Linked DNA regions of Neodiprion lecontei. The protein of the gene in region 3 interacts with the protein of the main gene of each other region in a pairwise test. Links are inferred from orthologs where the notes say so. Each region holds a gene or a part of one and is shown on either strand. Other genes may lie near its edges. The genes, in order: ARF GTPase-activating protein GIT2, protein phosphatase 1 regulatory subunit 12A and mitogen-activated protein kinase 1.

Evidence for each region.
Region 1: the proteins of mitogen-activated protein kinase 1 (region 3) and ARF GTPase-activating protein GIT2 interact in a two-hybrid assay, tested with the Caenorhabditis elegans proteins (3 studies listed by BioGRID). The link is inferred for Neodiprion lecontei from reciprocal best matches to the Caenorhabditis elegans genes mpk-1 and git-1.
Region 2: the proteins of mitogen-activated protein kinase 1 (region 3) and protein phosphatase 1 regulatory subunit 12A interact in a two-hybrid assay, tested with the Caenorhabditis elegans proteins (3 studies listed by BioGRID). The link is inferred for Neodiprion lecontei from reciprocal best matches to the Caenorhabditis elegans genes mpk-1 and mel-11.

What each region holds. Positions count from the first base shown.
Region 1 is NC_060264.1:4,181,090-4,193,654, reverse strand, and holds ARF GTPase-activating protein GIT2, read right to left. Parts: upstream 7,762-12,565; 5' UTR 7,532-7,761; coding exon 7,474-7,531; intron 7,047-7,473; coding exon 6,913-7,046; intron 6,831-6,912; coding exon 6,718-6,830; intron 6,532-6,717; coding exon 6,345-6,531; intron 6,226-6,344; coding exon 6,095-6,225; intron 5,977-6,094; coding exon 5,790-5,976; intron 5,678-5,789; coding exon 5,605-5,677; intron 4,917-5,604; coding exon 4,719-4,916; intron 4,645-4,718; coding exon 4,478-4,644; intron 3,860-4,477; coding exon 3,689-3,859; intron 3,523-3,688; coding exon 3,331-3,522; intron 3,237-3,330; coding exon 3,003-3,236; intron 2,930-3,002; coding exon 2,729-2,929; 3' UTR 715-2,728; coding exon of another isoform or gene 649-714; 3' UTR 516-648; downstream 1-515. Other genes in the region: dynein axonemal light chain 4-like, read right to left, coding at 255-515, 649-714; uncharacterized protein LOC107227510, read right to left, coding at 8,094-9,895, 10,127-10,217, 10,663-10,772, 10,900-10,957; PCI domain-containing protein 2, read left to right, coding at 11,744-11,764, 11,847-11,888, 11,972-12,093, 12,162-12,565.
Region 2 is NC_060261.1:7,035,980-7,045,873, forward strand, and holds the start of protein phosphatase 1 regulatory subunit 12A, read right to left. Parts: upstream 4,615-9,894; 5' UTR 4,461-4,614; coding exon 4,212-4,460; intron 1-4,211.
Region 3 is NC_060262.1:23,225,312-23,234,896, reverse strand, and holds the start of mitogen-activated protein kinase 1, read right to left. Parts: upstream 4,598-9,585; 5' UTR 4,569-4,597; coding exon 4,384-4,568; intron 3,894-4,383; exon of another isoform or gene 3,875-3,893; intron 463-3,874; coding exon 336-462; intron 1-335. Other genes in the region: DNA-directed RNA polymerase II subunit RPB11, read left to right, coding at 4,916-4,968, 5,510-5,599, 5,818-5,992, 7,058-7,093. UniProt on the Caenorhabditis elegans protein: Functions in let-60 Ras signaling pathway; acts downstream of lin-45 raf kinase, but before the lin-1 gene product in controlling vulval cell differentiation. Plays a negative role in proximal germline proliferation in the mitotic zone.

The DNA.
Region 1 (12,565 bases), on a different chromosome or scaffold from region 3:
CTGTATTTGATTCAAACTCGATTTTTAGTTGAATTAATTCTATCAATACCTTCAAAACCGATAAACTTATTTGTATAACAAGTTTTTAACGCTGCGACACAACAATATAAATGCGTTCTAAATAATCAAGCTGGTACGATTTTGTTTTTGTATAGATGTAAATAAAATTTTCCAGATCTCCGTTTGTATTATTAACGCGCTTATTCGTATGAGTAAAGATAAAAAAATAAACCCAATAATAGATTTTAAACAAGTTAGGAAAAGCCAGTGACCGTCCTCCAAATCAGAGCAGCAAGATTGCCACCTGTGTACATGTAGAGTAAAGTTTTTTCTTGATGAGTTACAGAAAAACCGTAAGCCTCGCCAACTACAACTTGAAACGGAGGACTAAATTTTTTATCAAGACTTTCTTTGATCATTTTAGCAGCATGTTCATAATTATCAGCATATTTTTCTGCCGCCGTTGTGCACAACTCTAACGCCTCCTGTTTCATTTCTTCTGGCATATCGGTTGTCTGTAGAAAATTAGAAGTTAAATTGAAAGTGAAAAGAAAATATTTTAGAATTTCATGTCGTGAAAACTATCATCTATTTTGACATCAGGGAATGAGCACGTGTTTCTCTCTTTCATGTTATCCTAAAACGTACCTTGCATAACGGGTACGTATGTATGATAGGTTGCAGAAGCTCTTTCATCACTTCTCCTGCCGACATTTTTGTAGTTTTTAGAAATTAAAACTATATTTGTATCGTGTATCAGTATTTAAAATAAGAGATTATACACTCATTGCGTCAGTAAGTCGCAGAATAAAGTTTCGCATAAAAAATGAATAAATCGTTTCAAACAAAATATGAAATCTGACAATTGTTTTTCTTTTATTACGAACCAACGGCAACAACATTCTAGTATCTTTTTCCATCTTTTGGTTCATGTCTACTGTCATTACTTTTCAGCAGCGTAAACGAAGCTGATTGACGTGTGGATGTACAATTTTGATAGAAGTTGTATTAAATATATTAGCTTTGAGAGGTAAGCTTAAATGTAGAGGATTAACGAACGTTGAATGAAAACTCTCATGTAATAATTTTGTTAATCAGTAAATATATGTATATAGTATGTATTTATATGTAATTTGTCAACTCATTCAAAATTTCAATGAGGATAAATACTTAATATTACTCTTGTCGATGTAGTACAATAATAATATTATAAAATTAGCTATACAGATGTTGTATATTGTATTTTCTTCATTATTAAATAAATTTAATATTAAATGAAAAATTACTTCTAAAAATCGCAAATATTCTAAACAATAAATTTCAACACGTTCAATAATTATTTCATTAGACAACCAGTAAAATTCCAATGGCAAAGGGGATGCATAATATTACTAAGCCTACGTCAGTTCGCATCCTCTGAAGCCACATCAATTAACTAAACATTGTGTAATATAAAGCACCAATAGCATTCTTTTATTGATACTGAAAAACGTTATTTATATATATGTATATATATATAGATGTATATGATTATGTATATTTTAATAATAAAAATATTTCCTTAATTGTATTTAATACGGAACACTTTTTATCTTTAATATATTCTATATAAAAATTTGAATCTGAAGCAATGCATCAGGATTCTGTTTAACGGTACACTAAATATTTTTTAAATGGATTCTTCAGCTGCACATTAAATACAATTGTTAAAAGCATGAATAAATGCAATAAATATCTTTGTATATCCAGGCACATTCCTCTTTTTTCTTATCGCTCATTAAATAATTTAAATGACGTAAAAGGTCGCGTAAAAAAAATTAACGATGCCTTGATGAAAAATTGATTGAAGAAATATTTCTATTCAAAGAATGAAGATAATTCACATTGGAAACAAGTTGCATTCAATGATTCGAAAAAAATGTCAAAACTCGTGTACTTCAAAATAAAAACGCAGGTATATGTAAAGATGAAGAAATTGCAACGACTATCGAATTATGAGTTGAATATAAAAGATCGATGAAAATAACACAGATAAAAGTGGAAAGAATATAGCTTAGATGGAAGAAATTGATACGTAACTGTATTGAACTATATATTTGTCTTAAGAATTTGTTAGTTATCTAGCTTGCTAGATGTAACATAACTATTTAAACTTGTGAACTATTTTATATGCTTATTATTGCAGTCTTTTCTTAATATACCATGTTATTATTACGTACATATTAAGTTTGAAAAGATTTTACTTGAATTTTAAGGTTGCGCATAAGTTTTGGATTTGAACTAAATACGATTTGGCAATATCTTTTTCTTTCAAAATTTACACTAATCGGTAAACCGAATTCCAGGCTCTAAATAGATTCAGTCTTTATAATTGATATTAATGATTAAAATAGAAATGACCTACATCGAATAGACTTTTAAACTATGAAAAAGATGACGTTACGTTACTCGCATGATATATGATACAGAAATCGTATACTTTGTTAATTTGATTTGTGAAATGTAAGTATGATTAACCATTCAAGCGTTGAGAACAAAAGTTATTCACAAACCGATAAGCTGTATACGTATATTACAAATTTCATGAGCATATGGATATTATTATCAGTAGTGATTTACCTAATGCAGCTATAAACAAACGTTCGCTACAACAAATTTTCGAGAATTGCACAACTTCCTATCTTGATTTACCTTTGATAAGTTTTATAGAAATTAACCTAATTCAGTATCAACATACCTGAAATTGAGTGACCAGAAGTTTTGTGGCTTTAGCTATGTCGTAAGCGCACGAGCGTACTTGTTGAAGACACCGATCCATGTGGTCTGTATCACTTGTGCACCTTTGTAGTCCTGCGCATTCCGCTTGAAGTCTACCTGTATTACCATTTAATTGACGTAATGCCGATCTTACGTTATCCTCCATTGGATTCTACAGAAAAAGTGTTGAAATTATAGTATCAGACACAACCATGATTAAAATCAGATAAAGACCAAATACTAGCCGGTGGAAATATTGCGGTCAACTCAGCAACTGCTACGCGAATTTTTTCAGCGCAAGGTACGAAAGCTTCTCTGCAACTGGGTTCCTGCATAGCCATCCACAACTCTTGAATACGTCTTGTGACTTGTTCTGTTCTTCTAGTTACTTCCTCGCTAGGGGGAAGACTCACAGTACCACAGTCCCACAGACTTTGGGTTGTATTTGGCCGCGGTAATGCTTCAACCTCCCGTTTTGCCTAGATTCATCAACAAGTTTTGTGGTGAAAATTACATCGTTGTGACAAAGTTCCGATTCCCATAATCTACTAATGAAAATCCTCTCATGCATACTTGATTATTAGCCGTAGACCACGGGGAAGACTTGCGAAGACCTTCTCTGGTTTCGTACATTGATGCCGGTCTTTGACTACCTCGAGGTGTCAGGGTTTTTACATCTAGGATTGGTTCTGATCCCAGTTCTCGCTCACCAACCACGTGTCCATTAACCACAGCATCTTCTTGAAGTCTCGATTTGAGAGGTGCCTGTAGCAAGAAATATATTATCCACTTTCAAAATGCGAACACAGTTTATTGAACGTCGTGCATGTATGATGAGATTGATTAATAATATTTAATCATGATAAACAAATTTGGTAAGCCTTCTACTTTCGAATCTTGTGATCGATTTCAACCGACTTTTGTAATTCACCTGAATCATATTTCGTAGCTCACAGTTTTCTTGCGATAATCTTTCGACGGTGGACTGAAGAGAACGTATTTCATTGCGTAGGTCACGAATTGTTGAATCGGAGAGGGTTAGTTGCTTCTTCAGAACTTCGACCACAGACGGTAAGCCCTTGGCCATTGGAGCGAGAGCTTTCTAAATAAGAACATTGCGTTTCCATAATCATATACGTATGAAGGAAATTTTACAACCACACTGATTAAGTTTGACAAGTGTATTACGATTAGAAACTGTGTTAGGGCAACATGAATCCTTGCAGGCGACGAGCTAAGATTTATTAAACTCAGCATGTACTCATTTACGTATCTGATTAGAATGTGGATTAGGATTAAATGATCAGAAAATTTTCGCAACAGCTGTGCATGCACGAACACAGATCTGTGGCACTTGCCTAGTAACACTGCCTGCAGAAGAGCCACGTGCTCAGTCGATTCCGTATTCGTTGTTTTCCTACTACTTCAGCCACCTTTAATAAGTTTTTTTTTTTTTGTGTTTCACATAGAGATAATTGATGAAATTTATCAGAACTTGAGTAATTCCGAAGTAAGTACAACGACTGCTTCGAAAATAACACTTTATCGAAGTAAGAAGACTACAGGTTCATCAATCGAAATGAGTTACAGGTAATCGGGAATGTAAATATAATAATAATCAACTAATTTCGAATCAATTCTTTCACTGCGAACTGTGTACATGTGGAATGTATAAGTGTGCTTAACGATTGCAATCATGTCTTATATTATGTTTAAATACCTCGTCATCCAAATTGGGAACAGACGTCTGGGCAGAAGCATTGACCACTGTAAGAGCAGCATAGTCGTCATCGGAAGCCACGCTGTCATATAAAGGCTCATCGTCTGATACTTGTGATGCATGATTGCCAAAGGTCTGCTCTTTGCGAAGCAATGAAACTGCAGGATCTGTATTAAAAATCAAGATAAAATTTTACATCACCGATTATACGATTACGGGAATTTTTCAAGCTTTTACAAACCTTGTGGAGGAGTACTGTTAGTAAGCATATGTCTCTGCTTGGCCTCGGTAAGAAGATCGATGATTAAAATTGCAAACTCTTGAACAGTGAACCGCGCAAGCTTTTGTCTACCCTGATTCCTTGTCGACGATAACTGCGGGTTTACCGGCAAGAAAGGGACTGTGCATCTCTCTGGCAAAGATGCGTTGGACATCCAAACTACGATGAAGATTAAAGATAGATAAAAAATGTAAATAAGTGATGCAAACCATAAAAATTTGGGTTCATCTTAATGGAAAACTGTGTATGGAGCTAATTTTATGTGCATGTAAGGAATATACTGTAAACCTACTGATGCAAAGTCTGAAAAATTGAAATTTAAGTTGCTACAGTAGCAAAGTTTTGTAGTATGGTGATTATAACAAGAATATACTTACACGTCTAGTATCTGCTAAATTATAGAACATACTAATTGCAAGTAAACACAGTATTCCATAAGCATCTATAATGACTTGATCTGATGCAAGTTGCCACCCCAACTACCAGTATAATTAAAAAAACTAATACCTAAACTAAATTTCATAGATAAAATTCAAATCGTATTTAACTCACCTCTCCTTATGATTGGCAAAATAAAAAATTCATGCGCATTAATAATGAGTAAATGAATGAGAATAGCTGTTTTGCGTTTTAGGTAAACAGCATAGTAAAAAATATGCTCTATTTTTTATGGCAAAAGGTACAGCTATGATCGCAATATAATCAATAAATCATTTTGGCCTATTGCTATTGTTATAGCTTATAGAAACATAGTCTTGAATCGTGGATAACGTGTTTGAAATTATTGACTATGATGAAAACTTAGCGATACACTATTTAAAACTAGTTCAAACATAATTTTACTCACTAGCTTCTGTCTCCCGACGATCTACCTCATCGTAAACGTCCATGGCAAGCTCTTCCAACAAATGGTTTGGTAACTGAAACGCACAAATTAGAAGCATCAAATTTTGTATTACCATTAAAGTGACATTGTTATAATGCATTTCACAAAATTCCTAATTGATGAATAAATTTGATGGAGTTGCTTACCATTTGTAACTTATTTCTAGCTTGAATAGTCATTTCATTTCTCTCCGTTGTACCCCATTGAGGTATAATAAGGTGTTGTCCTAGTCGGTGATCCGGTTTACGAGCGCATACATGATAAGTTAATCTGTCTGTAACTTCGTACATACTTTCAATGATTCGTTCGGCTAGATCCAGGTGTCCAGCCATCCTGAATAATAATATAGAATATAATTCAGCAGCTAACTTTTTATCACTTATGATATGAACGGTGAGTGAGATAGTTGTCGTTTCGTTATGAAAGTGGAAAAAAAAACAAGCAGACATACTTGGCATGTTCAGCAGCTGTTTGGCCATTAGAATCCATTGTACTTGGGTTGCCGCCATTAGCTATGAGGAGTTCCAACTGTAACGCCTGTCCTGCCTTAGCAGCGACATGTAATGGCGTGGTTCCTTTCTCCTAAGAATTGCATTATCTGATCAGTATCTTTTTTTTAATTCATTAACAGTGACCGAGTCGATTTAAAGGTAATGGTTCATCAAAGTTCCTACTCTCTATGCAATGTAAATATGTCGTACTTGATAAAAGTAGTTTGGATTAGCACCCTGAGCCAATAAGCGAAGGGAAGTTTCTAGATTAGCAGTACGAACGCTGCTGTGAAGCTGTCTACTAAGTTCTTCCTCGCTACAAATTTCCTCTTTACTAGGTCGCAGGATAAATGCCAGTTGCTGATGTTTTGCCTTGATGAAATCCGCTTTCACTGGGCTGCGTAAATTTGAATATATGTAAATAGGCAAAGGATTTGAAATCTCGGTATTGTCTTGACAAAGAATAAAAATTATTCAGGTTTTATAGAAATAATAAGATGCTTGACAGAGAGTTGCGTCATTCTATTTATAAAGTGAATCATATTATAACGATGTCAATAATGTTTAAACCACCTCAACTTACTGTAACAGATCTTTGGGTTGAGGTTTTCGTCTGCTAATCTTGGAGTTGCTTGGATCCAACAAGGAATGTTCCCAAATGCTATTAGCACCATTGTTATTCAGGGTACGTACCATCTGTTGAAATGAACATTATCATACGTACAATGCTTAAAAAGATCAAACAAAAACTGGTACTGTAACGCTCGTTATCACTGACCGAAAGCAAGTATGTGCTCCAAATTCCCTTATGAAGAGACTTGATATGCGATACATGGCGTCCTAGACTGCGATGAATACTGCAGCATTCGTCGCACAATAGGATAGCCCTGTTCAAAGATGCCCATCCCGGTTCTAGTTGTATAACAAAACAAAAAAGAACATCAAAGTAAACGTATAATTTTTTGAAAAATTGAAAGTATGGCAATAATATTGAAGTAAAGAAAAAACTATATCGGATTTACGCACACATCGGTAAGTGTCAATAAATCGGTAAATATTGACAGTACAAAATGTAAGAGAGTAATGTCAGGAAATAAAAATCATTTGACAAGTTTTCATCAGCGACCGGAGAGTATTTCTAACCTCATGAAACGAGGTGAGATAAATACTTGTTGTTTGTTGTTTAGGATAAAAATGAAAGTGAAATTTTTAGAAATAAATGAATGCGAGAGAGACAGAAAAAATGCGCGTATCAAGCGGTGAGATGACATAACGCCTAAGTAAATAAGTAACTAATTGGGTAAGATGATTGAGATATAAATAAAAATGATGCAGTTACCAGGAGCTCCACAGTCGGCACAAGTATCCACACTTCCTCGATGCTTTGGTCGCGCCATTATTTTATCTATGTCCACCCTTTAGCCTCCCGGGTAACACCTCTGAAGTTAACGCTGAATACGCGAGACGTCAAAAATCCATCCTTCAATCGGAAGCATGACTTTTTCTACATACCTAAATAGCAACAATTAACGTCTAAGTAATTGTTGATGACAAATAAAAACACTGCTCAAAGACGCCATTACACTTTTCATTAATTATTTACCACCATACACATGCAAACATCCTCATATGCGTTGTGTCGATATATCTAAACCGTCGTATCTTCGACCAGTCGAATCTATTGTTGCGCAATCGACTTCGTTCGAAAGATGTACGTTTTATCAACTCAATTGTTGGAATACTACCGAAGGAAGTTTGTGGTACTATTTCTGCATATACATACACGACAATTTATAGATCTGTACAGATATTTTAAAAATTCGTTTATTCCTCCAAATTAAGATCAATGGGTAGAAAGACGATTACAATAAATACGTTGCAATTATAATTTACAAAAAATAACATTAAATTGTACAGTTATTAATTATACAAATACAGTTTATGCATTACTACACGTACTTATGGGTAAAATTTTTGAGGTGTAGCATGCAAGTCATGAAGTTCGGATAATAATTTATCTGTTAAAAGTAATCCATCGTTTACCATACTACTTGTATCCTGAATCTTGACCTTTTCATCCGATCCCATTCGATAGCGCTGGACGTCTGGTGTATTTAAAAATTTATTAGCTGATTTTAGAACCATGTATTCCCGCAATGATCGGGCGTTCTTTTTCTTCCAAGCATTGCTTTGCCCAGGAGTGGTAGTTATGTTTGGCGTACAGGGTGGCTTGGACTGATTGTTAGATTGGGAAGCTGCAAATTTCCCGTTTTTTATCACAGGTGTACTGTGGCTGACAGGCAAGGACTGATTAGCATTTTTCATCGCTAACCTAACGGATCGTCTCCTGGTAGGTGGTTCGTTTTCAATATTTTCTGTTTTATCGATATTCACAGCCAAGTTGGTAGATTCGTGTTTTGATAAATCATCATTTTTGTCTTTATCTGACTGGAGCTTTTCGTTACTTGACGATTTTCTCAGCTCAGCAGTCTCAGCAGTTTGTTGATGATATTCCTGGGTGTTTTTTAAACGATTTCCATTATTATCAGACACAGACAATTCTTGGGCATTCAAACGCCTATCAAAACGCTCGTTAGTATTCCCATTGTATTGATATACCAAAAAAGCCATATCTTCATTACTCAAACTTCTCCAACCTTCCAACTTCAAATTGGACGCTCGGATTTTTTGATTATCCAAGTCTATATTCACATTTTTCAACTCCAATTTAAGGTTTGCTAAATATTTCTCATGGTGGGATATTTCATCTATTAATTGTTTTTGTTTGAAAACGAGCACCTCATTCTTCATATCTATCAAATGAGACGTAAACTCAGTCAGTTCAGCATCACGATTTTCTTCAGTAGCATTTTTTATACGTTGGAAAGTCGTCGATTCCTCAGATTTAACAGAATTCGCAGGTGGTTGTAGGCTTAAAACTTCTGAATATGATCCATCCTGTACAAATACACTATCTTCTAGTTCCACGCCGACATCAAAATTTGTTTGGGCTTGAGAAGCTACTTCCTTTTGCATGACAATTACTGTAGGCCGATGACATGCAGCTTTTTCAACATCTGAATCTGGCTGAACGATACGTAGGGTGTTTTGTGAATCTTTAATATTTTTATCTGTTAAAGTAGAAATGTTCACAACTGTATTAGAATCGACTACGAGCTGTGAACAGTTGCAGCACTTAGTAGATTTCTGATTTTGCTTGGGAGAACTGGGCGTCGAAACTGAGTGAATTGAATCCTTTTTTGCATCTTCAATTTGATTAGCAGAAAAATTTATTAATGATGTAGTACTTGGTTTGATGGACAAGTTTTCATCATGTGTCTCAGAAATTAACGACGACTCTTCTGGAACATTCGAAGGTCTTCCACTTTGCACATTTTTCTGATCAACAAGGACATGGTTTACAGGTTTATAAATCGAAGATCTTACTGCCGTTGAATTTCGCTTATTAATAAAAGAACTCGTTATGGATCCCGGTGGTAATAGTCTGCTGCATCTCAAATTTCCGTTAGGATTAACTGTGCTCGGTTTTCGAGTGGGCTCTGCTTCACGTGCTGCGATGCTATCAGGTAACCTTGGCACAATTTTGTTACCAATCAGAAGTCGACTTTTTCTTTTTAAATGATTTAAATTTTCATTTCGTTTCGAAGAATCGTATAAACTATCGAGTCTCTTTCTGGCATTGTTTTTGGGTGATTCAAACAGCTTATGAATATTACGAATTGGTTGCGGCAATGGTCGACCTGCAGAAGTAAGGAAACTTGTTACCATTACCAGTCTTAGTCATTTGGTACGGTACAAGAATGTAAGGTAAGCTACAATTTTTATAAAAGGAAAAGGAAAAAAATGAGACCTCCAAGAATCCATGTATGCAAGTTGAAAAGAAATTTTAAAAACTGAACAAACTTCTCTGCATTGAATATTTATTTATCTGTACCAGCTAGATATGAAACGTTCTATCGAGCAATACTGACCAGGAGTTTTGCGACTTGATCCAGTATTTCTGCGGTCCGATGGATCATTGAAATAAGCCATAGATATTCTCACTGGTTGGCATTTTCTCTCCTGTGTATTAATAACAAAATATACAGTTGTAACTATTAACTCTCGACAGTCAATTCTGTTAATATTACATTTGTAGTGTACATGTATAAGAGTGTGTCTAGAGCATTCGCAAAGTGTAAGTGAGCCGCAAGTCAAAGGTCGATGGGACTCTGGAATGTATATAGCAGACAGTCCAAATATAGAATTCGAACTATAAACACCATCTATTCAATTATTTCTCGTCATTATCTACACCATAACATGAAATTGAAAACATACTTGAACGTGACAGAAAATAAGAACAAAAACAAACATGGAAAATCTATAACCTACGCATCTATTTGATAGTCAGCTTTGAAAGTAAAAAATTGTATATTATTAACTCTTACTCTGGATATTTCAGCAAAATTGACTTTATAAAAATGGATTCTGTTAACATTTAAAATTTCCTGAATTTTAAACCCACCGATCGAGGTTTGGCTATTTGAGCCATAGCAGCTTCAGATGTTTCCGGTCCAGTGTGACCTGGCACAAGGTCACGGATACTAAATATTGGATATTTTTTGCCGCTGGATTCTGAAAAAGGTTCCATAATTATTTCCGACGCTCAATGAGAGGAAACAAAACAGATTAACGTCGGTGAACTAGTTCGATTATTTTACGTTTAAAAAATATATTCTAGTATTGAATACGTTATACTCACTTGATGTGTAACATCGAGCATTGTTCGATAGATTCATTGTCATATTTTGTACTGACATTGTTCTTCTCGTTGATTAAACCATTCCTACTGATCTGCTCATTTATACAATATATATGTAATTTACACCAGCTGCAACCGTTCAGAATTCAAACCTCACCTAACCTAACCTAATCCGATGCCCGTAGAATGGGAAGGGAATATAACCATAGGCTGAGTTGTTACGGTGCCAAGTTCTTGGCCAATAGGAATGCCGGTGAAGCAGGGAACCAACGCCACCAAGTGCACGCTGCATGCGAATTACCTATTTTATTGGCATTCCTATTGGTTAGGAACTAAAATGCAAAGCTGCGCACGCCATTTGCGCACAACGCAATCAGATATTGTAGCGGCATGTGTAGATTTGAAAACCACGAACGGAAGGTTATGGAAGTTTTTCGATTTTCCACCCTAGTTTTTCACGTACGTTTTCACGATCCACTAACAATCTTGGATGTAATAGAATATGTTTTAAAAGAAATTTGGTATGAGACACGAATCGCCAACTATCTCTTCTTGAAATATCAACATCATAGATGGGATTCGGATCGATAATAATGTTACCGACAATACGTCTCACCGTCGGCATGTTTTAACAGGCTATACCGGTACTAAAGAACACGACTATGGATTGATATTCAGAACCATTCCATAACCTAAAAAATAAACTTGATAAACTGTGAATTGTAATCTGTCAACACGGTATAGACAGAACGTATTTATATCTGGAATTTCGCGAGAAAACAACTTTCAACAGATGTGATTGGCAGTTCTTTATTAACCTGGTTACCGAATATAAAAATCTATCATGGATTCATACATAATGCAGGTAAAAAAATTGTTCAACCGCCCATCCAATCACTGGTTAATATCAACTGAAAGATGTGAGGTTATAATTTCTCTATTTACAGCTTCGGCGCGCTTGGTTGAATCAGGACGGTGACGTTCTGGCTGTAAGTACATTTGTAATTTTCCCATAATCGTCACTATGCATTCGAAGATTTTCCTGATTCATACCTGATGTTATTTAATCCAGGATCTGCTGTCGCTTAGTCATAATCATGCGACAAATCCTCAACTTGGAAGCGATGCTGCAATGACAAAAGCAATGGAACACTTATCAGCACCCTTTGACGACCTGGTTTTACACCATATAAAGTAAGTAGAATATTTTTCAGAGATATTATTAAGCAAAAATAATTAAATTTTTGATAAACATTTTCCAGGGTCATATCGTCATTAAATAAAGACGATGCATTAACGTCGTATGCTCATCAGAGTGCAGCTATTCAGTCACTGGCAAAGATACTCCAGTTACAAAAAGACGAGAATTGGATGTTGCCAGTAATGAATTCCATGTGCTTAGATCTCAGGCGTCTAGCCCTTAAAGCTGAAGCATCCAAGTTTGGTAAAAATCAAAAGTCCGGTGAGGTGCTTGAAAAATGTGCTGAGTGCCTAATGAGCTGTTTTCGAGTTTGTGCAGCTGACAACAGGAACTCTGAAGATGACACGAAAAGATGGGGAATGCTCGCATTGGTTAACCAACTGTGGAAGGTCTATTTTCGCATAAACAAACTCGATTTATGCAAACCTCTAATCAGGATCATTGAATCGTCCGGTCTTAAGGATC
Region 2 (9,894 bases), on a different chromosome or scaffold from region 3:
TACGAACAAACTCTGATTTTGTAAATTCAAATTCTTACGAGGCTGAAGTTAAGTAACGTTACCGTATCGAAATGTTGAAACGAAAATTACGGTTTTGCACCTTACGAATAACTCAAGTAACAAAATAATGAATTTTTGTAAAGATTCATCATTAGAATAACGTTACAAACTTCAGCCTGATAAATTCTTCAGCTAATCTAAAGGTGCAAATAGTGATTTTTGTTTCAACGTTTCGATACGTCAACGTTGCTAACTTCAGTCTCGTCGAATTCAAGTGTTTTCACATTGATGGACATGGACGTTGGACGATACTTTGGTTTATTCCTTGTTAATAACGCGACAAAATGGAGGAATCACCGTAATTTTCAAGATTATTGGTGCAATTTTATTAGACAAGGGTAACGTATCATAAAACATTTGAATTACGAGATTGAAGTGAGTAACGTTATAGTAACGAAACAGTGAGGGAAAAATCACTATTTTCTTCATTTTAAAATGATTTTGAGGGAACTAAAATCTCAAAATATAAGAGTGTTTTGTGTTATTAAGAATTACTGAATTTCAGGCAATTCAAAAATCGCCAAATAACGGTTTTTCCTCAGTATGAATCGTTACTATAACCTTACTAACTTCAATATAATTACCTAATTAGACTAACGCGACTCCTAGCATTAGAATACAATCCATAGAAAGTGAATGACGAATATAGATATTTAAATGGTTCAATTTGCGATAAAACATTAAGGATAGGAACTTATACAGTGTGAAAGTTATGGACCGAACATTACACTAGGATATTATTGTAAATAATAATGTACCGTTTAATGGTGAAATCGTGAAACTATAAGAATACAATTTGGAAGATTGCTTTCAACAACAGTGAAAAGCTCAGTTTTATTAGCTAAATATTATATCTTTATCCGAAAAAGCGGAACCCGAAAAATTTTCAGTAAAGCCAATCAGATTTTGTCTTCTCTAATTGAGAGAATTTTCAGAAACTACATGAAAGAAAAAGAAAAACGAATAATCATGAGGCTGAAATTAGTAACGTTATTGTAATGATAAAGGTTTTGTATAATCGTTATTTCACAGTAGCAGAAATGTCTGAAATTTAGTAAATCATAGTAAGGCAAAATGTATTCATATTTTGAAAACTTAAATACTTCTAAGTCCCCATAAACTTGCAAAATGGTAATTTTTCCCCCCAATGTCTCGTTACATTAACGTTACTAACTTCAGCCTCGTGAATAATCGATAGCTAAACGAGCAATTCTCTTATCAAGAAGAAACGCAGTATAGTTAAATGGTGTGATTCTAATATTGCCTTGTTACGGATTTTAAAGTTTTGATAATTCAGTTAATATGAAGAAAAGCGGGTCGGCAGCGATTAAATAAAATTACGTAGAAAATTTCACGTACATATATTTTAACGATAATCTGATGAGAAAATAACGAGCAAACGCATGCAACAATGATTAAATAGCAGGAGAGTAGAACAAGATATTGTATGAAAATGATAGGAAAAAGCGTTGCATCAGTTTCTTTAATACACGGAATAGTCAGTCACTATGGCACTCCGATAATAGTTAAAGACCCCGAAATTTATGAACTTTGAAAAATGTGTACGCGTACATTACTGAGTTTTCTGCATTGATGAAACCAAATACCGAGCCCTAATTTCTAACTCCTCTGAGACGATATTTAGCTCCATTAACTGACACAATAGAAAGTGAATTGATATGCCCATTAGAACCAGGAAAATAAATTTTCAAAATAATTAACCTTGAGGAAGCAGAAATTTAGCAAGGTTGGGACAAGTGTATTCTCATATCATTGTTTCGCTGTGCAATATCTTGGATTTTACAGCTCCGTGTACGTTTTTCTTTCATAAGCGCAGTCACCTTTTATTCGATTCTGGATGCTCAAATAATTGTAAAATTTGTCTGAGTACCACTGGAGGGAATTGCGACGTAGATATATGTTTGCAGAACAAACCTCTTTTCAATATCATTCGGTTTAACATCTCACAATCAATTCGATTTACCAGGTACTTCCCACAAGGGTATTGGTTGAGACCTGGTACAATTACAAGGAGTTTGCACTTTCGGTAATGTATCTTCTCCAATGGATAGTGTATTGTGTTAGAGAAACAAGCATGTTTTTACTTTGAATTACAATATATCATTAATATATTATGTTATTTGGCATGTTCTTCAACTGGCCATTACAAAGTTTGACGGAATAACTAATTCGCTGTTCTTAGTCTGTACGATATCGTGCATGTATATATCATGGACATAAGTTGCTCCAACTCAAATTTATCTATATGCATGAATATCAATCAATATTTCTATCACGCCAGCAAATGTTTCGTTACCATTATTACGAGATACGGTAGTTGGCATATATTATTTTCAGGTCGACTCGCAAATGACTCGATGAATAGGTCGACTAATACATTATCCAAACTATAAAGATAAATGATGAATGGCCAATTTTGCATACGTCAGCGAGTTCATTCCTGGCTCAAGTTCATGAGTCTTTTATCTCTCAGTTTTTACGTTTAGTGTAATATTAGTAAGGTAAAAAGAAAATTTCACTTCAACTGTTCTGGATAACGAAAAACATGAAAATCAAATTAGGAAGAATTTATCCTTGGCCATGCGTTCGTTGATATTTATTTACATTTCCGTTCTTTCAGGGATAAAATTTCTTTCGTATAAGAGAAAATTCATAAAACCAAATGTCGAAGAGAAACATTGAACATATTCTGCGGTAGAAATTTAATTACTGGATACCATCAGATATTGCATTAAGCCACGTATACAGTATAAACTACTCTGTTCCTTACTATTCGAGTGATTTGACATGCCCATAGCCAACTGGCACAAGCCGATGTAATGCATTCAGCTTACCGTTCGGTGGGTAAAATGGGATAACACTGAAGAAAATTTAATTTCAAATTCTAATTATTAACGAAAGAAACTACGTTGTTGCATACTAGCACCCAGCATAGAAGTAAATTACAGTAACTGATGAAACACCGGATGCATTTGAGTTTTTTTCTGAAAATCTAAAACGGAAGAAATTCAATTATAGCAGATTACTAGTGTCCCATATACTGGAAGTCTGATGAACGCTTACCAATGAATCCAGATATTTTCCCTGACTTCCAAAGAGAAAATTACTTGATATTAAGAATCAGTAACTTCTGATGATTTCCATTTAGAATTTCGAAGAATGAATTTCGTTCATTGCCACATTACGTCTCAGCTTACCAGCTGTGTTGAGAATTTCGGTTATCTTACTTATAGGAACTACGTCTTAAGCGATAAGATGATAATTATCTTTTCTAAAAACACTGTATCGTTGTTGTTTTGAATTTTAATGTTTTTCAACTTGTTGTCAGCGATATTGTCAAAAAGTCAATGTGACGTGTGCTGTTTTCAAAGTAAACAAAGAATTGGGACAAGAACAGGTGCCTAAAACTATCGTCGACAACTTAGATAAGGTTACTCGGTGCTTTTGCAGCCCTGGAAAAGGGTCATCGTCTCAGAAGCTTGGTACGCCATGTTTAGCAATACGAGAGTTGACAGTCAGCTACGAGAAGGTGTAACACCGATTTCAAGCGATAAGCGATGGAACTGGCCAGGTGACAGAACGCACAATCGATACACCTCACAGGTGTGCAGCTGGCAGAAACGAAAAATTGAATAGGAATGAAGAAGCGCATGTAAAGAGACGAGGAGGAGACGGAGGAGCGGCCGACTTGACGCACGTCAGGAGCAAACCGAGAGACACACATGTGAACAGCAAGTGAGGGATTGCGGGTGGGTGGGGGGAGGGGGATTCAGTGTGCGAACCGTGCCAGTGGCGACCACTCGAAGGAATTCCTAAATTTAACAGGCTCAGTATCGGAGCGGACGAGGTAATCGTTGAGTTATACGAACGATGGTCGAGGGAGGAATGAAATCTGGCTCCATTGAGGGAAATCCACGTAAGCGGAACGCCGTTGTTTGCGATTAAGGAGACAGCTGGAGTAAACCGCGGCCATCTTAGACACACATACGTCTTTCTCGGGACGATATACCAACCCGTCAGTATCCCGACTGACCGGGTTTAAATAGACGATTCTCCTGTGCCGCAGGAACCGAAATCGCGAAACGGCGACGGGAGGCGAAAAGAAGGGAGGCGAGCAGGGTTCGGATTACCTGGTGGAGGGCTGTCAATCCATCTACGTTCCCGGTGTTGATGTCGGCCCCCTTCTGCAACAAACGAATCACCTCCTCCTTGTCGCCCGCTGCACATGCTGCTAAATACACACAGTCCGCGGAGAATTTAATCTTACGATCAATCTGCCTTGGGTGGGGTGGTTCGCGATTTGTTTCCGACGTTTCCCAACGCTTTAACTGTTCGGCCCTCTTGAAAAGAGCCGAACTTGATCGAGTCTCTAGAGACATTATTTGATCCACACTCTCGACTCACACTCACTTCACTTGCTCGCTACCAGCCCCCATACGATTTCTGTCCACTGTAGATGGAGGGAGCGGTCGCCCGACGCCGAGGCACCTCTAAACTCGTGCTAGGCTATTCTTGGAACTGCTCGGAATCGCTCGGCCGACTCGGAATGACTCGGCCGCACAACCCACGCGCTACCTCAAATTCGTGGTCAAAACACAAACTATCCACGGCAGACTTGTCTAGCTTAACATTCGTTACTCTTTTCTGTCAGTTGAGTTGCCTACCGTACGGCGGTTTTACACACATATTGGGCGTGTTCGGAAATTGACTGAAAGTACTGTCAGTACTGAAAATCTACAGTATAGGTCACTTGGACTATAATATTTTCAGTACTGACAGTACTGTCAGTCAATTTTCGAACACACTCCTCGAGTCCCCAAGTGCTTTCGGTAAAGCTGGGATTTCATGGGCAGCAAAAAGCAGCAGCAGTTTAGTAACTTACTAGATATTACTAACATTTGTCTAGTAATTGACGCAGCAGCAGCGCTGTTCATAAAGGCCGTGTTCGAAAATTGACTGACAGTACCGAAAATTCCCTAAGACAGAGTCAGAGCTATCCACGAACTTGGAAGCGCAAAAGAGATGAAAGATTGCTGACAATACTGTCAGTCAATTTTCGAACACGGCTTGTGAAGCAAAAACCGGAAGTTTTTGGGGAGTCATCGTGCCCCAGTCTCCCCGACAACTATGTCATCTGGTAAAACACTGACAAAGAGTAAGCGAGCGCACGAGCACAAAAACTAGTTACACTAGGCGTCCGACCCCGAACAAGCTTTAGCGAGCGAGTGTTTTAAAACTAGTTTTATATTATCACGGAAGTAGCTGGTAATACAGTATTTGTGGTGACGACCTCTGTCAAATCAAGAATGGCACGGAAAAAAATGTTATGCTCTATACTTTTGCCCCATTGTTGCGATATCGCTTTGGTCCCGATCTTACGAATAACGAGTGAGGGGAGTACCAAGTGTCCATACCCTGCATTACCGTAACTACGGGGTTTATTTAAGGCGCCAGATAGAAAAGAATAAGAAATTGACGTCGGTATGTCAGTTGACCAATGACCATGCCAGCATTACGAAATACGTTCTTTGTGAACCACTGGTCTAAACCGTGGGTGTAAACATAACTGATGGAATACAGTGCGTGCGAGAGAGATAGCGAGTTGAATTACGCACCTCTGGTGTAGGGTTAGGGAACTCAACCCAGCACACCACCAGTAACCAACTTCAGCTCACCTAAAGAGCTCAGTTTCAGCTGGACGTTTTGGTAGACGTCTCACTGGACGTCTCTGCTCTCTTCAGTCGAGTAGAAACCTAATGGTAGACGGGTGGTGGATCGGGCGGCACAGTGTCATTGAAATTATGTGATTAGTGATCCGGAGTGAGTTGTAGTGTGTTCGTAAATAGAAACCTGTTAAGTACTTTACAACACCGGATACTATCGTTTCCCTTTAATGGAATGTGAGTTTACATTTACGATTACATTGTCCATTACTATAATTTTTTTTAAACTCTCCTTTTATTTTTCTCTGCTTTTGACCGACGTTTGTTCCCCCACGACGTTTGCATTCTTACACGTATCGCGTGTAGTTCGTTGGATACATCCGAGCGCATAAGGCTTGCTCAATTCAGATTCCGAGCTAACTAGCAGACTACTATCAGCCTGCTTTCTTCTCAAACCACGAGTTTGATTGGTCCGAAGCCTTTCACATAGCGCTCTGAAGCTACTTGGATCTAGTCCAAAGGCTTTAATCAAACGTATGTATACACACACATTCATACACACCTGATACATATACTCTTATTCCTCTGCCCTGCTCCTTGCATGCCTCAGTCTTCATCTCGTTCGTCGCCTCGGTGAACGTTTGGATTTTGTGGAGAAAAAACTGTTTAGAAAGCTCTGTCACGTCAAATATCGCGTCGTCATATACATGATTTTTAATCTGACAGGAATTTCATTCACCTATAATATTCCGCATGTTTTTACACACGGAGATTTTCGCCACGATAAATACCGTTATCACGGTGGTTGGTCCTCAGTGGGCGACGGGGGCTGTTCTTTTCAACATTTATGTGGTAATTGACAGTTCCAGTTGGCTATTTCGGGTATTCTTACGTTTTTTCACTCTTTACTTACCCCGATTGCGTGAACCTTGTCAATTGGCTGATACATGGTGCGATAAATGACTGCAGGTATTATCTCTGCTGCAATCAGTACGAAATAATTTTAATGGATGATGAATCATCACGTGTCTTGTACTTTGTTGTGTAATTCGCAAAGAACGCATGCAGGTACCAGTGTACACTAATTACTTAAATGCATATTTACCAATAACACTAGATTCGCGTAGTGTCATATTTTCTCCGACAGGCTTGTAAGTTTATGTAAACATTGACAGGTCATATTATTTTGTATAATTGTTCGTTTATTTTTCAAGACAAAAAAGATAGTTGCTAGCAGTGATAATCCGGTTACGTAGCTTACTTTCACAGAGAGATAACGTTCGGATTGATAAGGTTTATTTACTTACCTTCATAATGGCAACAACGCAAATACCATCTACTTTGATAGAGATACAAAGTGACTAAAAGTAAATGATAAATTATACAGGTAGATGAGTAAGAAATTCAAATACAGTTCATTTATTACTCACCTAAAAATTCAAAATGAAAATAATTCAAAGTACAGATTCACAGGTGCTGACTTTTGCTGTGAACCGTGAAAAAATTTGCTCAGTTTTACAACACTCGTTATTTTCATATCACTGGAATTGGAGTCTGTTTGCATTTGGTTTTTCATTGTTACCAACGTCGGTTGGTAAAGTGTAGGGAAGATCACAATGTTTATAGTTAACAAAGTTCAAACGTGAATAAATGTTATCGGACAAGTTCGAAAGACACAAATGATGACCAATGAAAGTAGATTTGTAGAAATAAATGTTTGTTTATTGATAAAATACTCTTAACTTCATTATCAGCAATTTCAGAAAATCTGTGTTTGCCTCATTGCTTTCCAACAGTAGAAAAAACATTTCCTTGTACTAATAATCAAAGATAGAATCTTTTTAACATCACTATTTTGTATATAATTATTCTTTTAATAATCACAATGCTAAACAAGATCTAGATAACAAATTTTGTATTTGTAGGCCATCGTCTGATAGCTCAAAATCTTTTTCTTAACGAAATTAACTGTGTAGGAGTACATCGTATTTACAACACCATGTAAAATATCTACTGCTCAGAAAACTATCAAGATCCTATTTTTGAGAGAACAAAATTTTGAAATCATGGCTCGTTATTGTATTGATCAAACTTCAAGTACATTGAATAAATCGAACGATTGTTTCAACTATACTACTATTGCAAGACACATGATCCACATGACTTTTATAATTCTTATGAATAGTACCCTCTATAAAAAACTGTAAATAAAACTATATTAATAGGAAGTACAAGAATGGTTTATCGTACGTTAATTTACAACAAAGGCCCACATTGGTTTTATACATGTATCACAAACGAACACAAGTGAATGAACAAAGAAGTATTATTCCCAATATTTGCTGCAATGCAAGACGATATATACAGATCAACTAAAGTTTAACCCGTTATAAAACAATCTCCCTTGCAACATGTGCACCTGATCCTTTACATGGTGGTAGAGTCCAAGAACTATGATAATATTCGAGTCTTTTTATTCATTGCGACATTCTGTTTATACATTCGTAATTCTGAGAAATCACATTGTTCACAAATTATTTGTCAAACCATCGATCGAATGCATAGTAGAAAGAAACAAAAATCTTGTGAAGAATTTAGTGCGAATTCAAAGAATGTCGTGAGTTATGTGATAATTATTATTTTTTAAGGTCATTTTATCTACTAGTTCCATGCAGACCTAAGAAAATAATTCGTGGAACTTTCCGCTGGTCTCGTTATTTTCAAATGAAAATCGCGGGCGAATTTATTTTTACCAATAACACAGAGAGGGCTGATTTTACTCGAAATCGCGGTTGTTCTAAGATAAATGGGGCCAGACTAACATACCAAATTACGTCTCAATTGTACAACCCATTTTCGGAGAATAGATTTTTTATTTTACTAAAGAACTCGTCAAAAATTTTTCAGCTGAAAATCTGATCAGTTTTGAATCGGGGAAAAAGTATGAGACTGAAGTTAGTAACTTTATTATAATGATTCGTATTTCGGGAATTCCGTTATTTCGTAATTTTAGGAATCTCTAAAATACAATAAATTATAACAAGGCAAAAGTTATTGATATTTTCGAAATTTAGCCACTTCAAAATCACTACAAAATTGCAAAATAGTGATTTTTCCCCCAATGTTTCCTTGCGCTAACGTTACTAACTTCAGCCACGTGAAAAAGTCGCCTCTATTTCTTTTCTCTGATTGTGAGTGAGATGAAAGAATCGGGAAAGTTTTAGAGATTTTCTACTTACGGTGTAACCTGCGCATAAAAACCTGTCATGAATTGTACATACATACATGCGTATTTCTACAATTTGTCATAACCGTTATGGACTGAATTAGGGCGTAAATTATATATACGGTGTGGAACATGACGACGAATTCAATCGTTCGCCTCGAATAAATTATTTTATATCAGCTTCATCATGTGTAGAAAATGTTTGTTATGCTTAGCTCTCGATATCTTATCTGTTTTTATATTTCGTTGAATTCCTTTGCCGAAACGACGGTTTTCGTACATCATTTTTACGATTATCTTCTGTTAAACTGAGAACATTTCAGATCCGTTATTTACCGCCCACACCGGCGAACGGATTGGTTGTGTGAGAACTGCTCTAATTCTTGCGCGTTGCATCTCATCGCCCACACTTATCCGTATTTATAGAAACACAGTCATCCCATGTCTCTGTATGTTTGTATACCGATGGGGCATTCCATGCCAAATCACCGAATCTCTGACTGACCCCGATCATATAAAATTTGTCCAATTATTTTCTCTCATTTTTCCGTTCCCTCAATTCAAGGGTTTTTCTAGATTTTTATCTCCATCTTTTGCTTGTAAATATTCAAATATTTTCTACACATGTCTCTTGAATTTTTGTAGATAAAATTGAAGGAACGTATCGCAAAAATACGAAATCTTGAGTTCCTGTTCGATGGTTCAACTCTAAATTCGATTCTTGAATTTTTAACCAATCTGTATACTGTGAATATCCCAGTTGAGAATGCGCGATTTATATTTAATTGAAAAAATGCATCAACGAGATTTCTGGACTGCTTCGGAATTTGCAAATTCCTTCAAAACAAATAAAAATCTTTTAAAAATTTTGAAGCTCATAACGGTTTAAGAAAGAACTTTGCAATTGCACACAAAGGTCTTTTG
Region 3 (9,585 bases):
TCAAGGATATTGAGTTTTCATTAATTTTATTTTTACTTTCAGTTTCTTTTTTTTCAAGTATGTGTTTTGTCAAAATTCTATGATTCATTGAGTAATATGAAATCGCATACTTGTTTAACTTCTTGAGAGTAATTAAGGATTTCATATGGGTGATACAAACCGCATGTTGTCTCAATTTTTATACAGAATTATGCTGCACTTTGAGTAAAATAAGTGATACTATACTTCTTGTCAAACTTGTTGCAAAAAACAGAGTGATATTCAAAGTCTGTAAGGAATTGGTTATCATTTTGCTCTCACACAATAAATATTAGGTCTATATAAAAATTTCTTACATTCTCATGCTTGAACCTGGTGAGAATTTTTATTTCCCTCAAAGTCCTCTGGCTGTAAGTTTGATGCTCGAAGGGAGATATTTTCTTGATAGCTACTTTAGTTTTTGTTACATTGTCGTACGCAGATCTGCAAAAAATAAATTATAAAAACAAATTAATACCAATATTTTTTTTTATAATTATAATAATTATCGATATATGCATCACGCCATTCAACATTCATCTCATTGTTTGGTAAACATATGATGTTTCTGCTGTTCAAATTGAAACAGGGTGCCTAGTGTCAATGACATATCAAATTCCCTGAAATTCCCTGGTTTTTCCAGACGTATGCAAATTTCCTAATAGTTTCCGGTTTTCCAGATGTCCCTGACAGCTAGACACTTTGTGAAATCGGCATTGACTACTTAAGTGAAATGACACAAAAAATCCTCATATAATCGTTTCTATTCATTTAATACACCATATCTGGGTAGTTGATATCATTGAAAGTCTGTACACTGGAAATGTAACATAGATCATCAAGGATTGTCCATATATTACATGGTAATAGTCTTGCAGTTTCTTTATCTCAACCCACCCAACTCTTTGACAACAAATAAATAAACTACCATGCCAACAAACATACTACTCTTTGTCTAATCTCATGGGCTCAACACAGAAAATAATTCAGGCAACTTTTAGTATTAGAATACTTGAGGCCTCAAGTATTTCCATAGAACTGACAAGGTACCTTGCTCCAATTCGACCGGCTGGTATCTTATCACCGGTCGAGTTTAGGCAACAACTACGTAAGTCATTTTTTATGCAAAATTTGATGCCCAATCAGAGGCCAATAAAAAAGATATACTATCCCATCTAAAAATAACTAAGTTGACCTTCATCTGACCTTGATGGTTTCAATTGCAAAAAATCTGATACCTTTCTTTTCTTACCCCTTCAAACCTTGAATATTTTCTATGAAACGATTTTTGATTTGTTGCTTAGTTTTGGGGTAATTGACCTGAGGCAATTAAAAAGAAACACCCTTTAGTAAATTCTCCAAAGTATAATTAAAGAAACTACAGTTAACGACCTAACAGGCTCAGCTTTTTTTTAAAATTATAATCTATTATTTAAATTTCGTACAGATATAATCTGATAAATGATACAGTAATAGAACTAATTTTCGATTATAAAACTCCCTGACTTTCACACGTTTAAAATTGTAATTATCTAGATACCGATTGTGTAGTTTACGATTAATGCAATGAACGAAGAAATTTAATCAATCATTTTAAATTATATTTCATTTGGGTTCCATTTCTGTACTGAACTCGGATTTCAATTTTTCATCAGTTCTCGCTTACACAACTATGCCAAGCGTTACACTACAACCGTAACGTTTGGAATAATATAAAAGTTTGATTTTGAAATTTCAGTTTTTCCATAAATCGTCAGGATTCTTTGGCTATATCTTGGTTTTTTTTAGGAAAACAAAAATCTCCGAAGATTCCAGACTTTTCTGGTTTGCAGGTATAATGAAAACCCTGCATGACAATACATTGTAGTACCGCACGATAAGGGTAGTAGTGAATTTCATGTTTCAAATGTAAATGGATGAAACTTCTTTTATCTAGAACATTTCAAAATGAAGCTGAAGCTAGCAGCCAAACCTTAGTGAGTAGTTTTGGAATTAGAAAAATACAGTTCAATTTTATGCTCATAATTCTATAAAAGTACTGGGGGTTCAGGGTATTTCACAAAATTTTGATTTTCGGACTTCACCACTACCTTATTCGAATTAACATTAGCACATTTGGCTGCTAACTCTCACTACTAGCTTCAGCCTTGTCATTTCAAATCATTGCACGCACAATGAATGTACAATCCACAGTCTTTAAAGGAAAACTGGTTGCTATTAGTCGTGTGGTTTTATGGTCACCTTATCTTCTAACATTATTTCTTAGTAATTACGTAATAAATAATTCGAAGTGGATACGTCTCTTGAAATACTGAATTTCGCACACAAAATAATTCAAAATATGTTCTTGAGACACATGTGACAGGAAAAACTGGGGATTTTCCAACATTGAAATTATTAAAGATAACACAATGAACATTGAACAAAAAATTACAATTACAAAACTTCAAAATAACTGTAACGGAGTTGAATTTGCAATATAGAAGTATAGTCTATTTTTGGATAATTCTTAAGTTGAAAATAACGACATTTTCTAAAATTACATTACGTTAATATTTTCCTCCACTTTGCAGATGAAATGTCAGGATTTCAATGAACGATACATATATAAATGCAAAATGAAACTAAAAAGAAACGTTTTCAATCTGTTTTCTACACCAGATGGAGTCTGATTAAAAACTTTCTCTCTCCAATGGAAACTGGTAAAACTGCTCACTACGATATATGACTAGTTGTTTAAATTAGTAACATTAAAGTAAAAAATTTGGAAAAACCACTATTTTATAATTTTAGAGTGAAAGAAGATTTTGGACGTTAGTAACTTTAAGCACGTTACATGCCTGACAACTAACAAAATCGTTCTTTGCATACGAACAAGTGACGTATTAAGAATCGCTCTCTGTTAACATGTGTAAAAATCCTTCATGTTTTTCACGAGTTTTCCACTTTTAAGAAAATTTCATGATACATTTACTGAATTTTACGAATAATGCAATAACGATTTCAGCCACTGCAAAAACTGTATCTGAAGTTTTGATCAGTCAAGCTTGATATTTTTTTCATATATATACGGTTATGAACAAAAATTTTTATATTAAGATTTGGTATTGAAATTCAAAAATCTAGTCACAAACTCGAATCGATAAACAAAATTTACAGATTGTGTCAAAATTTCCAGTCATTCAGATAAAAATTGACCGAGGAATCTGCACCACCGTATTGAAAACGTGGTCGCTCGCTACTTATAGGCGCCATGCTACCATTTTGCTATTAATTTCAATGAAAAAATTCAACCATGTTCTTGAAACTACAAATAATAACGTCCTGAAACTCAAGTTGCTCTGTTTTCATTTTCTTTAAACAGAAACTCCTAAAAATAGGTATGATTTTAGACCGTTCAAGCTGTACCACGATGTACCACCCTCTTAATGTAACAATGTATTTTTGAAAATTGTTATTTCACAATGTTAGGGTTGTCTGAAATTTAGAAAATCATAAAAACAAAACAGTATAATACTTTGAGAACCTTAACTTATTAATTTCATTAATCACATACAAAAATCTGTATGATTACTGCTTGACTGCCTAGAATGACGCAGCTTCTGCACTGTTATTGTACATCATGACCAAGTAACATAACCTCTAGTTTAATGTTTAATGTCAAATATCTTTCCAAAATTTCCAGCAACTCGATGTGTGTTCATTGTGTTTAGAATCATCGTCAATTGTATTATAATCACCATGTTTTTGAGGGGCAGTTCCTAAATATTTATGCATAGAAATTATCCAAAACTTCGAAGGTAAGTGTCATAACGCTCTGTGTTAAAAATTCGAATTTTCAAAACGTTTCTCATACTTATTTGCTAGACAATTGACCCCGAAATTTTGCATGTGTCAAGTTGGATTCTTCAACTTTTACATATTTAAAGGTTGTATATTTCTTGGAGAGGTGAATTGATAAAGGAGAGGCGGATTCGTAGTCAATATATCACTGACTACGCAAAACATCTGAAAAATGTAGACTTGGAAAAAGAAGTACGAGGCAGTCGAATCAAGGTCTCACTAAACTTGAGCGTGGCGTAACCTGCAGAAATGAAGGAAAGGGGTGTGACAGGAATTTGAATGTGGCGCCAATTAAAGGCAATCAGCAGCTGGCGTAAAGGTGTGGTTCGTAAAACGTACATAGAATGAAAAAATTGCCGAGTATTCTCGTATGAGCTGACGTGTTATCATTATAATCGAATCGTTAACATGTCTCGGCTAGTAAGAGCTCGAATTGTTTATCTTATCGCCTGTCACAATGCTGGTCAATGCATATGATGAAATTGCCATTTTTGCCATGAAAATATTGCCTGTGAAACTTACACAACCATTCCGTAAGCTCCTTCTCCCATATACGACAAATTAGTATATCGCGGACCAACTTCGAACACTTGTCCCCGAATAATTTCTGCATTTGGATTTATGCAAGCCGAACCTTCGCCCGCCATTTTGACAACTACTTTGCGGCTCGTGAGCTCTTCAATGCTCGAGCCATAGATCAAGGCCATAGATACCCAGGCTAGAGAGAAGTGGGACAAACTTGGCATTCGAGTGAGATGCAGCGTCGTTATGAGCGTTTGCATAGGAACGCTCCAATCAGGGAATATTAAACTACATAAAAGATCATTGCTATTTTCTGTCTCTCTTGCTCTATAGCATTATTGCCAAGTTCTGTCTCGCTCCTAGGGAATTTTCAGTTTCAGCGCTGGGAGCTCCTTTTTCAACACTTCCAGGTGACTTCGGGCACTTCGAGCAAAATAACCCCGAAGTTATCCAAGTGTATTTAGCGGTGCATGATTTTCTCACTTTGATACCTGGATAATATTCGTTATTAAAGAATATTTGAACTATTAACATGAACGCGCCACCGACCTTCGAATCGTTTCTCTTGTATGATGGAGAGAAAAAGTAAGCATTTTCTGAGACCATTTTCCTCAAGCTCAGGTTTTAGGTTAATATAAACAAACTATTCACCTGTCAGTGTCCTAAGTCAAGATCTAAATGTTTTACCGCACTTTAAGATAGTGTATTTTGCATTCCATTGGTTTCTCCCAGTTCACCAATGCTGTATTCGGAGGAATATCTTGCTTTAACCATTGGAATTAGACTTGGAAAAAGAGTAGCTTTATTAGAATTATGTTTGATTCATACATGAGTTTTGACAGTAAATTCAGTCTCTTTTACTGCATCGCTACAGACTTGAGCAATTTTCATATCTCGATGATGTTCGAAGAGCACAAACCATATACCCGTTAATATTGCCATAAATTGCTGATACCCTCGGAAGGATGGTATAGCCATGATGTTTTGATGGTAGAGGTATACCTTATTGTCACTTGATATCTAACCCTCCGAATATTCCGAATAGCCTCAGTATTCTTTTCAGCCAAGAGAGTGAATTTTCTGGGGCGATAATGATTACTTCTAACAATTAGAATTCTTTTTGCAGAATCATCAAGGAACAAGATTCAAAAGTACCCAATGCAGCAATATTCACAGTCAATAAGGAAGATCATACCCTGGGAAACATGATTCGAAAGTATTTATCACATAGTTATGTTTTAAAAACTACACTTTGTCAGGACAACAATATGTTGTGCCAACATCACTTTGAGTGATAGCAATTGATTTTTTGAAATAGGGAACAGTTGACAGTGATATAATTAAGGAGTGTTCTTACCGTCTCTTTCAATTTAGTTGAAACTTGCGACCTTGTCATAACAAATAAGTTTATTAATGTCTATGCTTTTATTTTAGTCAATTGTTAAAGGATCCTCAAGTTTTGTTTGCTGGATACAAATTGCCGCACCCGTTGGAGCATAAATTTGTGATCCGTATTCAAACAACATCCGATTATACGCCTCATGAAGCATTTATGCATGCCATAACTGACCTCATTGCAGAACTGTCACTGTTTGAAGAACGTTTCAAGGTAGGTTTAATTTTTTGAAGGATAACGATTAGTCACAATGAAAATATCTATCCCCTTTGTTGACAAACGCAAAAGTATGGGGTGGATAGAAAACAAAACATGAAACATATTCAGTGATGAGTAAATCCTATGCTATATACAAGAGTAGTTCAAGCAAATAAATTTTTTTTTTCAGTTCTGCTTCCTCATAAAACTGTTGTTTTTGGTGAAAAACTAATTCCCTGCAAGTTTCAGCTCTATCGGATAAGATTTAGAGGTCTCGCTTGAAATAACACGTCAAAAAATTCTTACTTTAATTCACCGTCAATTTTTCGTAAAAATCTAGCCGAAAATGAAAAATAAAAAAATCTTATATCTTCTCTCAATTTAATAACATTATGTCGAATTTTTCAATTTTTTCGGATTCAAATCACAATAATTCGCAAAATATCTAAAATTGAATAAAATATCTGATGAATATTGAGTTTAATAAACAAATCACTGTTTACGGTAGATTGGAACTTTTTTGTGCCTTGTTTTTAGGTGGTGCAAAACCGCTAGCATTAGATAGTCTGAATCAGTCTGAAATTGAAATCACTAACACCTAAAGCCGATTCACCTCGTATCTTTGCCACACGCTTTTAATATTTTTGTCTTCTGCAATTTGGGACTTTCATTACTGTCATCAAATTCTGGCTTATATAAAATAATCCCATTTCAAAATCACTTGCCCAAAAAACATCTGAATTACAAATTGTGTTAGAGGCAACTGTTCAAAGGTCAAATATTTAATTAGAGCACAATTGGTAGGCCTGAACCATATATTGAACATATTTGAAAAAAAATGACCAGCCTTCCCGAGACCAGGTTTACAAAATGAAAGCTTCATGAGAAAATTATTAATGCTTACTGAAGTTGAGGGTCAGTTGCATTCAACCATTTATTAAAAACACTTTGTATAATATGATATCAAATTGCCACTCGTCATTTTAATCTACTTGTATTTTTAGATTATACTAAAGCAAACTATGTTATACCGAATGAATATTCTCCATACATTACAGTACATAAATAATATTGTTTCAGGAAGCTATAAAGGAAAAGAAGGATGGCTTGGACTAAATAAATCTACAGAATTATCTTCATTCCCTTCTTTTTATAGAAGTAATATGTATATTTTGTTTTGTTACTATATTTCGATAGGCGAATAATAAATGATAACAATTTTTGCTAAAAGAGTTAATGTTTCATCTCAAGCTAATATATATTGCGACTTTGTAAATGAAATGTGCACTAAGATCTATTCGACATTACACCAAAAAGTACAATTTTTGCTATACTTTTACTAATTGATTTTATATTTGACACTGATTCTACGCTTGGGTATAGTGGCCTTACTAATTGAATTTAATATTGAACTGGCTCTCCGAGCTTGATTAAAATCCGTGTATATAGGACACCATCTCTTATGCTCCTGTACAATTTTGGTTGACAGATTTATTACATTGAGTCCACGGTTGAACTAATTCGTGTCTTGGTTTTTACCTTATATGGTCTGCTTTGCGTATCCCAGCTAACAGCTAACTTGCTTCTAAAGCGTGCCTCACTAGGTTTATGATGTTTGATGTTAAATGTATTTTGGCTTGTGGCCCCATGTATGTTTAATATCATTTCTGTAATCGGAATATTTTTGTATTTAGGTAATTTTATGATTAAACAATTGAATAATGTAAAAATTTTGTGACAAAAGATGGCACAGGTGTGCAAAACTGAACACGTATTCAGGGTGTATTAAGTACAGTTATCTAAGGCAATGTTCTACGGGGCTGCTTTACCTTAGGAATTGATTCTTAAGATTCAATTATTCAAGGTAAAACAATATTAACTAATAAGCGTTTCATCTATGATCGAATATATCCCTCAAGACTTCGCAATGTCACCAGCGCTGTGCACCATTTCTGAGAACTTAGCGGCATAGCATCGTATTGATGGTGGTAAAGCACAGCTCGATCTGAATTACCCCTAGCAAAGTTTGTTATTGTATTGCATTGAATATATTCTACTTGGTTCAACAATTCTTAAGTTGTCTACCCGATTTTGAAATGAGTTATTAGATATCATAATAGTAATAGTGCAATTAACAATGCTTAAAGGTATGAATATCTGAATATTAGTAAGGATAGTTTGATTTGCAATGCAAGCAGATAGTAATTCAACGTAAGCAATTGGTATTCGTGTTATGAATACTTTGAGGTATTAAAATATGAGTGGACAATATCTGATTATTAAAATTCCAGCCTTATAATATAGAGAAATAATATTCGTTGATACACGTGTGTGTGTGTGTGCAAGCTTGGATATGAAGTAGATGTTCATAGAGATACATATAGGCTGCTAGCTTGATGCCGCTTTTCGTAATCGAAAATGGCAAGAGATATATTCATCGTCAACTGGCGATCTCTGCGTCCTGCCCTATACGCGCAACTCAATCCAGCAAGCGGTAAGTATTATAGAGGCGACACGAATTGATGTTACCATCCATCGCTCACCGCGTGAACTCAGAGAATGCTACAGAATGACGAACGGCAACAGAATCAAATTTTCATATAACTCCTGTATGGACAACGTATGCTTTTCAACTACGCAAATTCATTGGGGCTAAATTCAGCACTGTCAATATAATTCCATCGGATCGACAAAAATAATGTTATCTACATAGATGCATAATAAATATGAACCTGGTTTACTGTTAAAAGAGTTAGAAACCTTTTCTGAGGATGAAAATATACAGTTGTTCCTTCTGTAATTTGGGAACATATGTTTAATACTGAACTCATACCTTTAACTGAAGATGATAATATGTATCTTCAATCAGCACTGAAATCTTCGTTCCCAAAAAAGATACAACTGACACAAAAAAATAATTTCTCAACTAATGTTACATTGCCGTGGTTTTTTACGAATTCTCGTAATACAAAAAGTTCAAGAAAGAAATACTGAGAAAGCTGTGCCGGAAAGGCAATTGAAATTGAACTAATTTCTCCGAAAAGTCGACTTGTTCAATGAGTAGCGAGTAAAACTTTTGAATTTAATTCAACGATTTTACTGTGTAGACTATAAAAGGTCAAGCGTGGGAGAATGATGTTGGAATTGACAAACTCTAAATTGCCAAAGGTATGTGCACCTTGTTGACTTTAATTAAGAAACGAAATTTATCAAACAGATAAATGTATTTGCGTGGAAATCACTGTCTAAACTAGAGAAATCTGAAGGTATTACGATTCCTCATTATCGAAGCATGAGTTTTATTGACAATGATTTAAATTTACACTAGTATAAAATTATCATTTGAGAAACTACAATATGTTAGTATTTGACCAGTGAAAATAAGTTCAGTTATGCTCGTTTCCACACCACCGCAAGCGGTAGAGCGCCTGGTACGTTTTCTTTTTACGTGGTATCCCCAGTAGGCCTAGTCCACGGCAAATAGTTGCAAGATCGATCTTGCGTTCTTCGAAAAATTGCAAATGACTTTTTTCGTCATGTTAATTATGGTAAATTGTTTTTCCCAATCAATTTGTACTCGCGTACATTCGCAGTTTGTTCGAAATTTT